3 linked regions of the Bombyx mori genome follow. The protein of the gene in region 2 interacts with the protein of the main gene of each other region in a pairwise test. Links are inferred from orthologs where the notes say so. Each region holds a gene or a part of one and is shown on either strand. Other genes may lie near its edges. The genes, in order: tef2, ubiquitin-conjugating enzyme E2 variant 2 and abnormal wing disc-like protein.

Region 1 (4,342 bases), on a different chromosome or scaffold from region 2:
ACATGAAGTCAAATTTTCAACAGCATTAATATAATGGAGTCCCTGGTGGAAAAGTTTACAAACCCAAAGACGATTCATTAAATATGCACATATGTAAGCTTACAATACACATCCTATCATCCATATTTATGCAAAATTTATTACTTCACAGGTTTATTTTTATTACTTTATGATCCCTCTTATTGTGGAATCTGATAGTGCATGCTATAAGTATGTATTTGCTTTGAAATTACCCACCATTTGGAACATCAATATAATAGCCTGATAAGACACTGCCTTTAAAGTCCATAACTTTCTTTGAATGCCATTTATTATGGATTCACATCTGTCAGTATATTTTTTATTGAGTTTAATTCTAGTTATTATTTATAAACTTCAACTTATTAATTTATAATTTTGGATTACAAATAAAATATAATTTTTACAACCTACTTCTGTGCACAAATGCATTGTTTCTATAATTCTAATAAAATGAAAAAGTGAAATGTAAGTTTAATGGCTACAAAATATAAATCGTAGAGATAACAGGTGCGTCCGTGTATGACCTTGATGGCTACACGCTAGCGTCTATCGCGCGTCTTGTCACGTGTCCAAAACATGATATCAAAAGATTCAATGTTGTCCAACAAAAGCTGTGACCATCAACCGTTTGTTATTTGAAATTTATAGAAACTCCCAAAAATGCCAGAACAAACTCAAGGAAACTGTACAGAATCTTGTGATTATTGCAGATAATTTTATAGGAAGTTATTATTTTAAATACTCACCCATGGGACCACCATCATCGTTATATGTGGCTATAATGACGTTAACATTTTCTACAATACGCTGGAACGTCTGGTATAGTTCTTCAGCTTCAAGTTGGAGCTCAAGAAGAGCACGGTCCATTTTGTTCATGAACAGAATAGGCTTGATGCGCTCGGCAATAGCCTGACGCAGTACTGTTTCAGTTTGTACACACACACCTGGTTAACACAAAATTAAATTTCATTATAATATTTTTACATTGCTAAGTTTTTTTGTTAGTCTCGGCAAAACTGACTAGACAAATTTTGATGCAACTTTTTGAGCTTTACAGCTTACGAGTGCAATGCCCTTTTTGAGTAGAATAATTTTTGTTAATTGTAAACTGAGCTCCTGAGTTTCTGCCAACTATATATATTATATCAGATTTTTCAAGCATTTCACCCTACCTTGAAAGGTAGCTTTAAGTAATTTCATATTTAGTCATATTCAAATCTTAATGGAAATAGCATAAAGGGCTCCTCTATTACTGGTCATTAACAAATCAATGAGAAAGAATTAAATAAGATATTTTTATTAAAAATTAATATTCAACTTACCAGACACACAGTCAACAACCACAAGGGCTCCATCAGTGACACGGAGTGCAGCTGTTACTTCAGAAGAGAAATCAACGTGTCCAGGTGAGTCAATCAAGTTGATCAAGAAACCTTTCTCACTCTTTTCACGCTGGTCAGGGTTTGTGATGAATACTAAATCTTTCTCTTCAAGCTCGAAGAACATAGAGATGGCCCTGGTAATAAATTCGTGATATTAAACTCATGGTACTTTTTAATATTCCCAAATTTAGTTTTTATGATTCATCAGATGGCCGTTCTAAAAGATCTTCAATATTCATATCAGTCTTTTAATGGTAAAGAACATTCATCATTTAGATCAGAGAATTTTTAGTAAACTTGCTATTAAATTAAATCCAAGTGTTGAACAAAACATTACTAATGTATTATTATTTGTCTTTTCCTTAAACATGATTAGTTGGTAAAATGTTACTTAATTACTACACATTATTAAAATTTTATGAAATTTAATCACTTTTGCAATCCCAAAGTAAGAAAATGACTGACCTGATTCTATCGTGGTGTATTTCATGATAACTAAAACTTAACCTAACAGTGTGGTCTAACCTTTTCGGATTCCTTTGCAAATTTCGTAAATAATAAAAACCATTTCTGAGAAATCTTTTTCGACACATCAGCTACTATAAAGGCACGTTATATTTATTTAAAACGACGCAGCTGGTACACTCATGTGGTCTTTTGCATTAAAGCAATAATAATTTGTATATAACGAGATTTTTCGTTAACTTAACCTCATAAAAGTTCAAGGGCAATGACGTTCGGTGCACCATGTGGCAATATGTATTTTTGAAGCTACTTACGTAGATTTAATGGTGATGCAACGGTCTTGTTCGTCCTTACGCGTGTCAGTGAAACGGGTCTCTCCGGCTCTCGCACCAGCAATGATACCGGCCTTGGAAACCAACGAGTCCGTGAGGGTTGACTTGCCGTGATCGACGTGGGCGATCACAGACATGTTGCGGATATTCCGCTTCTTGTCCATCATCCCACGGATCTCGTCTACCGTGAAATTCACCTGCACATACGAAATAATAGCTCATCATGCTGACACAACACAGATGTTAGATTTTAGACATTTAACACTTAGATTCACGATATTGTAAAGGTTTAGTTTTATTATGTTGTTTAATGTTTAATTATATTTGAGATGAGTGATTGTTGAAGTCTCGGTACGAACACTTTAAGCACCACATCACTTGAAAACGTCATCCAATTCACAAAGACCTGACCCGAACAAAGCAGAACTTTTACAGTAACTATTCCGTCAAATTAATAAAATATGCACGTGAAACGTATGAAAACATTCACCGGGATACTTTACTGGTCACTAAAACTGATTTCCTTACTCACCATTTTAGATGGTTTATGATTTTTGTTCTATTAAACCAACTACCATACGCCAGCAATGGCGTACGCTTTGAAAAAGGACCCTTGCGAGGGCCGGATGTCGCAGGTCGACGTCAAATAAAAAGAGTCATAGACAACATATAATGCTGCCAGACGCTTACTCCGAGATGTCAACACGAGTTATTGAGCATTAGTCGATTTTCAAGATTGTCTGTTAGTAATCTTTTTGAATACTATGACGCGTAACAGATTTGGCTGAATAACAATTTGTTTGGTGTTTTGTGGCCTAAATTGATCTTCTGAATTCAAGCTGATTGTATTGAAACTATATTCAATCAAACTAGATGGAAATGAGGTGAAATAAAATATCAGTAAAATGGTTATTAGATTATCGTCATCGTCATCAAGTTTTGATCTTTCTTATTTTGACATGAAAGACCTTTTTTAACAACCCGACCGCCTTCATAATAACTGCTTTTGATTTATTTTAAATCTCCGCAAGGATGACCACATCTCTACATAGCGCTTAAAAATAAATTTTCTCGCTTTACGTCAGCGATATTGACAACATGCACGGTAGGTACGGTACTTTAAAAATTTACATTTTTCGCATAATATATTCTGCGTTCTTCTAATAATCTATTACTTGACTGTCCCACGTACATCTCTAATTTGAATTTTACTTCCTCTCAATGTCAAGATGATCACTGATCACGTATATAACTCTCAATGAAGGGTTCGGCAACTTTTGCTAAATGAATTGGCAGGAATATCTAATAAGTAGACTTACTTTGTATAATTTTTTTGTCATAAATATATAATAAATATTGAATATATGTGGAATGTATGGATGTATATATATAGTGCTGTATGAGCTGTGTATATTTATGCGTTCTATATTTTATGAATTAGGTTTTTTCAGTAAAAGCAATGCATCTTTCAAAATACTTTACCAACTTTGGTTGACTGGTAGAAAAGATCTTAAGCTTTTAGTCCACCTCTGTAGTCTTGTGCAAAAAGAAAATTAGTAAAAAAAAATTGACAAAATATAACAATTCGTACAACTTTTTTTCTGGCGTTCCCATTATTTATTAAGTTCATATTTTTGCTACTGTTTTTCAGTCTTAAACGTGTAAGAATCATGACTAATTATTTATTTTGTATGTGGTAAAGTAGATAATTTACGAAAATGCACCGAAATTGTTGAATATGGTTTCCATGACTCGACTAAAAAGTTCAATAAACTCTCAGTAAATTTTCACAATTTTTTAAAAAAATATTCATTTTTCTTGTTTATTTCTTATTTATTTCATTTTCGATTAAACTTTTCATAGCACACGCCCTACTTTTATTACAAAAGATTTGGTTGTAAGGATGTCCCTTTGCCTGTCGGGTTTGACTGCTTTTTAGTAATTTAAACACCTCCCCATCAGCCGGGACAGTCTACAAAGGTCTATGCTATTATCATGTAAAATAATTTGACTTGATTGGCTTATTGGTGTAATTTTCAGATAGATTACATCTTCACAATTTATTTAACCCATTTTTTTTATTAAGCCTAAATGAGCGCCACCTATTGTCTAGTAGAATGTCTAACATTGACTCGTTGTTGA
Region 2 (3,679 bases):
TACCTTGACTTGACAGTTCGCTTACTTCACTCCGGTTAGGAAAATTTTCCAAGTACGTTTGAGTGGAGTTTATTTTTACGACTAATCGTACAAAAACGCGCGTTGGAGGTTGAGTCGAGTCGAGTTAAGCTCGTGTAAACGACTAAAGATACGGGTGTAAGGATTTCCATTTGTTTCTGTCCTTTGCTGTACTTATTATTGATTATGATTTGTCTATATTATTGTTTATAATACTAAAATGCAAATCATAGACCTAAAACGAATGAGGTGAAAGAAACCACAATAGTGAAAACACAACTTAGTTCGCTTTCAAATCATGGGATAGAGTCGACCGAGTAGGAACCCGCATCGGTCGCAGCGATCTCTATCGAAGAGCCCGGCTGTGTTTTTTGTGGGGTTGATGTCGATGCCCAACATTAATGATGTGTACTGAGTGAATACTACAAGCGAACAAACAATTCGTTAATGGCTTCCAACATAGAAATTCTGGTCTAAAATACGAAACCCGCTCACGCCCAAAAACCAAAGTAACAACGACGAATTAAAACGACTGTGGAAGTTTTCGAAGTTGCATCAAAACAATATTGGTTCAGTTGGGTCAAATTGGCAAAATAAAACAACTTGATAAGTGCCTACTGCACGAATTGAATGATAGCCAGAACGATGAATGCGTTAAGATCTGCCTTACGTTGCTTAACAGACGCAGAAACAAAATGATTTTAAACGGCATTATCACTTGCGATGAAAAATGGATTCTTTTTAATAAACGTAAGTGGTCAAAATGTTGATTGGACTCTAGTTCAGCACTTAGGCAATGCTTGCGAAAACTTATCCATAAAAAGTCATGGTCACTCTTTGGTCTACTGCCGATATAATTCATCATAAATTCTTACTTTCCTCTTACCTCTACTGCGGATGCCTACTGTAGCACAATAACTGAGAAGCTCGCGAATCTCAGACCAGCCTTAATCGCTCATCCTGGCTGCTTCTACATGATAACGTCCGACCTCATACAGTACAACAGATGGTCTCTGAGCTATATGAACTAGTTGGAAGTTTTGCGTCATCCACCGTACTCAGCAGGCCTTGCGCCGACAGTCTGTTCCTTGTTTCAAAGCCTGGACAAGTTCTTGGCAGGGAAAAAAATAATGCTTGAGAGTCAGTACAAAAATTTTGTTGGCTCTCGTACATCTGACTTCTTCAAGAAGAGCATATCCTATCGATAATAAAAATATAAAGAATGCTTTATCTTTCTGTAAGCCTAAACAGCAATTTCTTAGGTAAAGATGTAATATTTTATAATAAGAGGCACACTTGATTCAACTTTATGCACAAAAGCACGTGAATAAAGTTGAGTTCTCAAATTAGGTGTTGAAAAAAATTCTAATACTTTTGGCTGTCTGCGTTGTTTCTTTCGCCTAGCTAAGTGAATTAGCAAACAAAAAATCTATGGTTAATGCAACTTGTCAAAGTCAACAAAAAATTGCTAACCTTCATTCTCTTTATTGGAACAAAATCTAGTTTAATTAAAATACAATTACTCTGTTGTAAATTGCCATACTTACTTTAAATAAAACGAATCTGTTTAGGTAGCGCCTATGCAATAAAGCTTGACTGAATTAATCTAAGTTTTTACAGTTCTCTAAGCCGGTGATACTGTGATCATGGCGAATCCGTCATCAGGCGTTGGTAAGATTTTTTTTCGATCTATAGATTTTCTCTTCTTGTGTAAACATGTGAACAATAAATATTAACTTTACTTATTTTTTTTTACCAATTTAGTGGTGCCACGGAATTTTCGTCTCTTAGAAGAACTTGAACAAGGCCAAAAGGGAGTGGGCGATGGAACCATTTCTTGGGGTCTTGAAAGCGATGATGATATGACTCTTACTCATTGGACTGGAATGATTATTGGCCCACCAAGGGTAAAGTTTTTTTAAATACTTTTTTTATCTGTGATATCTAAACTACTTTTTTATAATTTAAAATTACAGACACCCTACGAGAATAGAATGTACTCCCTTAAAATTGAATGTGGAACACGATACCCTGATGAGCCACCAACAGCCCGCTTTATTTCTAGGATTCATATGAACTGTGTCAATAGTCAAACTGGACTTGTAAGTATAATGTTATGTTGAATATATTGCCAAACATTACCTTTTGATGAACAAACTATATTAACATATATTTAAATTATCAGGTGGATAATAGACAAGTCCCAATTCTTGCTAGATGGCAGCGTGACTATACCATCAAAACAGTTCTTCAAGAAGTGAGACGTCTCATGACTCTTAAAGATAACATGAAGCTTTCTCAGCCACCAGAGGGAAGCACTTTCTAGTTCCTTCAATCAAGTCTCAACAGGCCCAATCTACTTTCACATAAAACAATAATTTTAAAATAAATTAAATGTTCTCTATATTGGGAAAACTGTCATGCTGGTGCATGTACTGCAGATCAATTATTGCCTTTATAATTTAAATATTGTTCTGAGATGTAGGTTGGGTGTTTATCATATCTGATTCTAGTACCCATTTATTTTATCACATTACCAAAATTATTGTGGCCTTTATAAAAGTGAAACTTGCTTTTGGTAAAATTAAGGCTAGTTTTACTAATTTCTTCATTTTAGGCTAGCAAAACACTAGTGCTATAATATTGTTGTATTAAATTACTCATGGTCTTTAAAACAACAATGTTTAATAGTACTCATAATATGTGGAATATATAATAATATCTCAAACAATGTCTGATAAGCAAAAACATTTATTTATCTCTGAATATTTATCATAAACTTACTATGGGACTTGCTTTTTGCTTAATTATATTTGCTTTAGTTTTCTAATAGTTTTACATGTGTAAACATAGGTGTTTATTTCTTAGGAAAATAAGGTAAATGTACTATTGATTCTTGGTCTTTGTAATTTATGCATTTAATGCAATGTGCATTTGGCATAATCGCCAATTCATTAAAGAGTAAAAAAACTGCAGTAATCACAATATGTATCTGTAAACTCATAGTACCAACCAAATGCTAAGTCAAATTGTTTCATAACATGAATATTTTTACCAATGTAATACTAGCAAAAATAAATCAAATAACACTCAATATATGCCATTTATTTAAAAACTCTGTTCGTCATAGAAGAATAATGAAATATCAGAGTAAGTAAAAGAGATGTTTTTTTTTTTCATTTTTATATACTTGTTATTTATTTTCAAAGGAGTAGATTAATTTTGCTGAAAATACGTTTATATCTTCCTAGGTTGTATCAGATATGCACATTGATTGTATGTTGCTACAAGTTGGTGGGATGGGAATCGGACTGTTGTCATCACCTGGGTCTGGGTTATTAAGAGATGTTGATTTTGGCAACACTCAACATTAGGCCACGGGCCTGTTATACAGCGAAAGAAATGACTTTTGTAACTCTTTGCGTCTGTCAGAGCAGATAGCAAAGTCGTCTGCATCATCCACAAGTAAGTCCACGAGGCTGAGGACTGCACCACTAAGTGAGTCGAATATCAAGCAATACAGGAAGTAACTATGTACTGAGCCTTGATGATGCACCTTTTCTGTAACTGCTAATGGTTTTGTTTGAATCACTATTGTTCATACCACTTATCTCGCATGCATGTATGTACATGTCTGCTATGATGTTACCATAATGTTCGG
Region 3 (2,745 bases), on a different chromosome or scaffold from region 2:
GTATAATCACAGTAAAATGGTGGTCATTTACTGAGACTTTTTCAATTGACTTTTTGGAAGATCCCGAGAAGTTACGTTCAGCAACTTTGTTTCATTTTCCCACATTTGTGCACTTTCACAGATATTAAACGGTTAATAAACCACCGTTATTACACATTTAAACCTGAAGAAACACTAAATAGACAAAATAAAATCACACAACTTCACTCCTCGCGTTCCCGCCAAAAAGTCCCCTGGTGACTGATTTTTTTAAGGGATTTTATGACCTGGTAACTGAGTCCTTTAAGTCATATCTTATTTTAATTTATATTCATATTTTTATGAAAAATGATATTGTGGAGTGAAATGAAATGAAGATGATTAATTTGAGACATTAATCAACTGGCATGAAATGAATTGAAATGAAATGAGATGAAATGGGATGAAATATAATCTCAGTAAAATGGTGGTCATTTACTAAAAAAAATTCAGTGGACTTTTTGGAGGATCCCGAGAAGCTACGTCCAGTGGCTTTGTTTCATTATCCCACATTTGTGCACTTTCACAGATATTAAACAGTTAATAAACCACCATTATTACACATTTAAACCCGAAGAAACACTAAATAGACAAAATAAAACAAATCACACAACTTCACTCCTCACGTTCCCGCCAAAAAGTTCCCTGGTGACCGATGTAGACTGATGACCATAGATTATACACTTATATAATTTTTTTCATGGCATCACGTTGTGCGTATTGCCACAGACAAAGGTAAGGAAACATAGTAGTACAGGAAAAGAATTTTACATCGGACGAAATTGATATCGGATAAAGGATAGGATCAGCAGGATAAAAAACTATCTCTAATACAAAATACTACGCTAAGGAAAAGAACAGTAATTAATAAATTAAATCAAATAGAATATTAATTATATACATATGTACTTATAATTGTATATTATTTACAGTAAGAAATAAAATTATACACTTATTACATTTCTGATGACTGAACGGACGGACCATTTTAGTTCTACCCAAAGAGTAATTTTGTCTATGTCTGTTGCCACATATTTTAGCAGCCTCAATACATACCTAGTAAAAATGAAATTCGAGACCTGTTCCAGTGAAAGAGCTCCCAGTAGCCTGTTCCAAAATAACAGCCTGTTGTGTTGCAACAAGCTTAATAATGTTTTAAGTAGAATATGTTCCACATAATGTAAGTCATACATAAAAATTGTTTTAATACATTTTTTTAAATGACAATCCTTCATTCTTTTTTTTTATTTGATTTTTTTAATATTAATGATATGTGAAACTAGTTTTGCCAAAATGCACTTATATTAAAACATTTAATATGTTATATATATAAGTATGTGTGTGCTATCTTTTTCTATTTCTGTACGTGAAAAGGGGAAAGAGCTTGTTCCAAACTGTTTGCAGTGGAGCGAAACAACGCAACATATAGAATATTATGGAACTGTTGTTTCGGTCTATAGACAGCAGTTCCGAGTTTTTTCACAGACGAACCTGTTCCGTTTAACTGTTCTGATAAATACGCCTTATCCCTAATACCTAGTCTATAGTCTGTAGCTGCCAGCTGCCACCTGCCACTTTTTAAATCATTGCCGGCTGTAGTGCACGTGTAGTTAATTGAGCACGTTAGTAATATTTCATGATGGCGGAACAACGTGAGCGTACTTTTATTATGGTTAAGCCTGATGGTGTACAACGTGGTCTTGTGGGCACCATTATTGAACGTTTCGAAAAGAAAGGCTTCAAACTAGTCGGTTTGAAATTCGTATGGCCATCAGAAGAACTTCTCCAGCAACACTACAGCGATTTGGCATCCCGGCCTTTCTTCCCTGGTCTAGTAAAGTACATGAGTTCAGGACCTGTGGTCCCTATGGTATGGGAGGGCCTTAATGTTGTGAAGACTGGCCGTCAAATGCTTGGCGCAACTAACCCAGCTGACTCGCAGCCCGGCACTATCCGCGGTGATCTCTGCATTCAAGTTGGGCGTAACATCATCCATGGTTCGGACAGCGTTGAATCTGCTAAAAAGGAAATAGGCCTCTGGTTTACGGACAAAGAAGTTGTGGGCTGGACACCTGCAAATGAAAACTGGGTTTATGAGTAAATTTATTTTAATCTGTATATTTTGTCTTGTTCTCATAATTTATGTTAAACATTCTGTGATTAAATGAGACATTTTCATACATTTGTCTGATTATTATTATGTCATTACCTTATTCAAGAATTATAACTATTGCCATTTTTTTCTTAATTTTCTAAATTAAAAAAAATCGTGGACAAATCTTCAAATTGCTAATGTACCTTTAAAATCTATATTCATGATACAAGGCTGGTTCATCTACACTTTCCTCCTTTAATACTTATACTTGAAATTTTGATAAAGTGCAGGGAAGTAGCAGGTACATCTATCTTTAAACAAAAAAATATTATTTGTGACTTTCCATTTTAAAACATATAATCTAATAGCTAGTTTTTTAACAAAAAGTTAATAGTGAATAATAATGTCTATATGAAAGAATTTATAGCCAAAAAGTTATCTGCATCTCTACAAGAATTTTAGCCTAATCCATTGCAAGGTTTCTCATTTGCGGTAGATCCTTAAAAACAAACTTCAATAGTAAAAAATATAATATGAACAGAGATGTCCACTGTAATTTTATTATCATTTAAACTTGGAATTTTATTTTCAGTTTGTTTCAAAGATTTCTTAAGCCTATACCTACCAGAAAA

Evidence for each region.
Region 1: the proteins of ubiquitin-conjugating enzyme E2 variant 2 (region 2) and tef2 interact in a two-hybrid assay, tested with the Caenorhabditis elegans proteins (2 studies listed by BioGRID). The link is inferred for Bombyx mori from reciprocal best matches to the Caenorhabditis elegans genes uev-1 and eef-2.
Region 3: the proteins of ubiquitin-conjugating enzyme E2 variant 2 (region 2) and abnormal wing disc-like protein interact in a two-hybrid assay, tested with the Caenorhabditis elegans proteins (2 studies listed by BioGRID). The link is inferred for Bombyx mori from reciprocal best matches to the Caenorhabditis elegans genes uev-1 and ndk-1.

The regions. Positions count from the first base shown.
Region 1 is NC_085125.1:13,071,051-13,075,392, forward strand, and holds the start of tef2 (translation elongation factor 2), read right to left. Parts: upstream 2,833-4,342; 5' UTR 2,736-2,832; coding exon 2,733-2,735; intron 2,398-2,732; coding exon 2,183-2,397; intron 1,690-2,182; exon of another isoform or gene 1,580-1,689; intron 1,538-1,579; coding exon 1,344-1,537; intron 966-1,343; coding exon 768-965; intron 1-767. UniProt on the Caenorhabditis elegans protein: Catalyzes the GTP-dependent ribosomal translocation step during translation elongation.
Region 2 is NC_085117.1:11,658,793-11,662,471, reverse strand, and holds ubiquitin-conjugating enzyme E2 variant 2, read left to right. Parts: upstream 1-1,421; 5' UTR 1,422-1,664; coding exon 1,665-1,689; intron 1,690-1,782; coding exon 1,783-1,925; intron 1,926-1,994; coding exon 1,995-2,120; intron 2,121-2,203; coding exon 2,204-2,344; 3' UTR 2,345-3,112; downstream 3,113-3,679. UniProt on the Caenorhabditis elegans protein: Involved in protein ubiquitination, but has no ubiquitin ligase activity on its own. The uev-1-ubc-13 heterodimer catalyzes the synthesis of non-canonical poly-ubiquitin chains that are linked through Lys-63.
Region 3 is NC_085121.1:5,954,866-5,957,610, forward strand, and holds abnormal wing disc-like protein, read left to right. Parts: upstream 1-1,607; 5' UTR 1,608-1,654; coding exon 1,655-2,119; 3' UTR 2,120-2,198; downstream 2,199-2,745.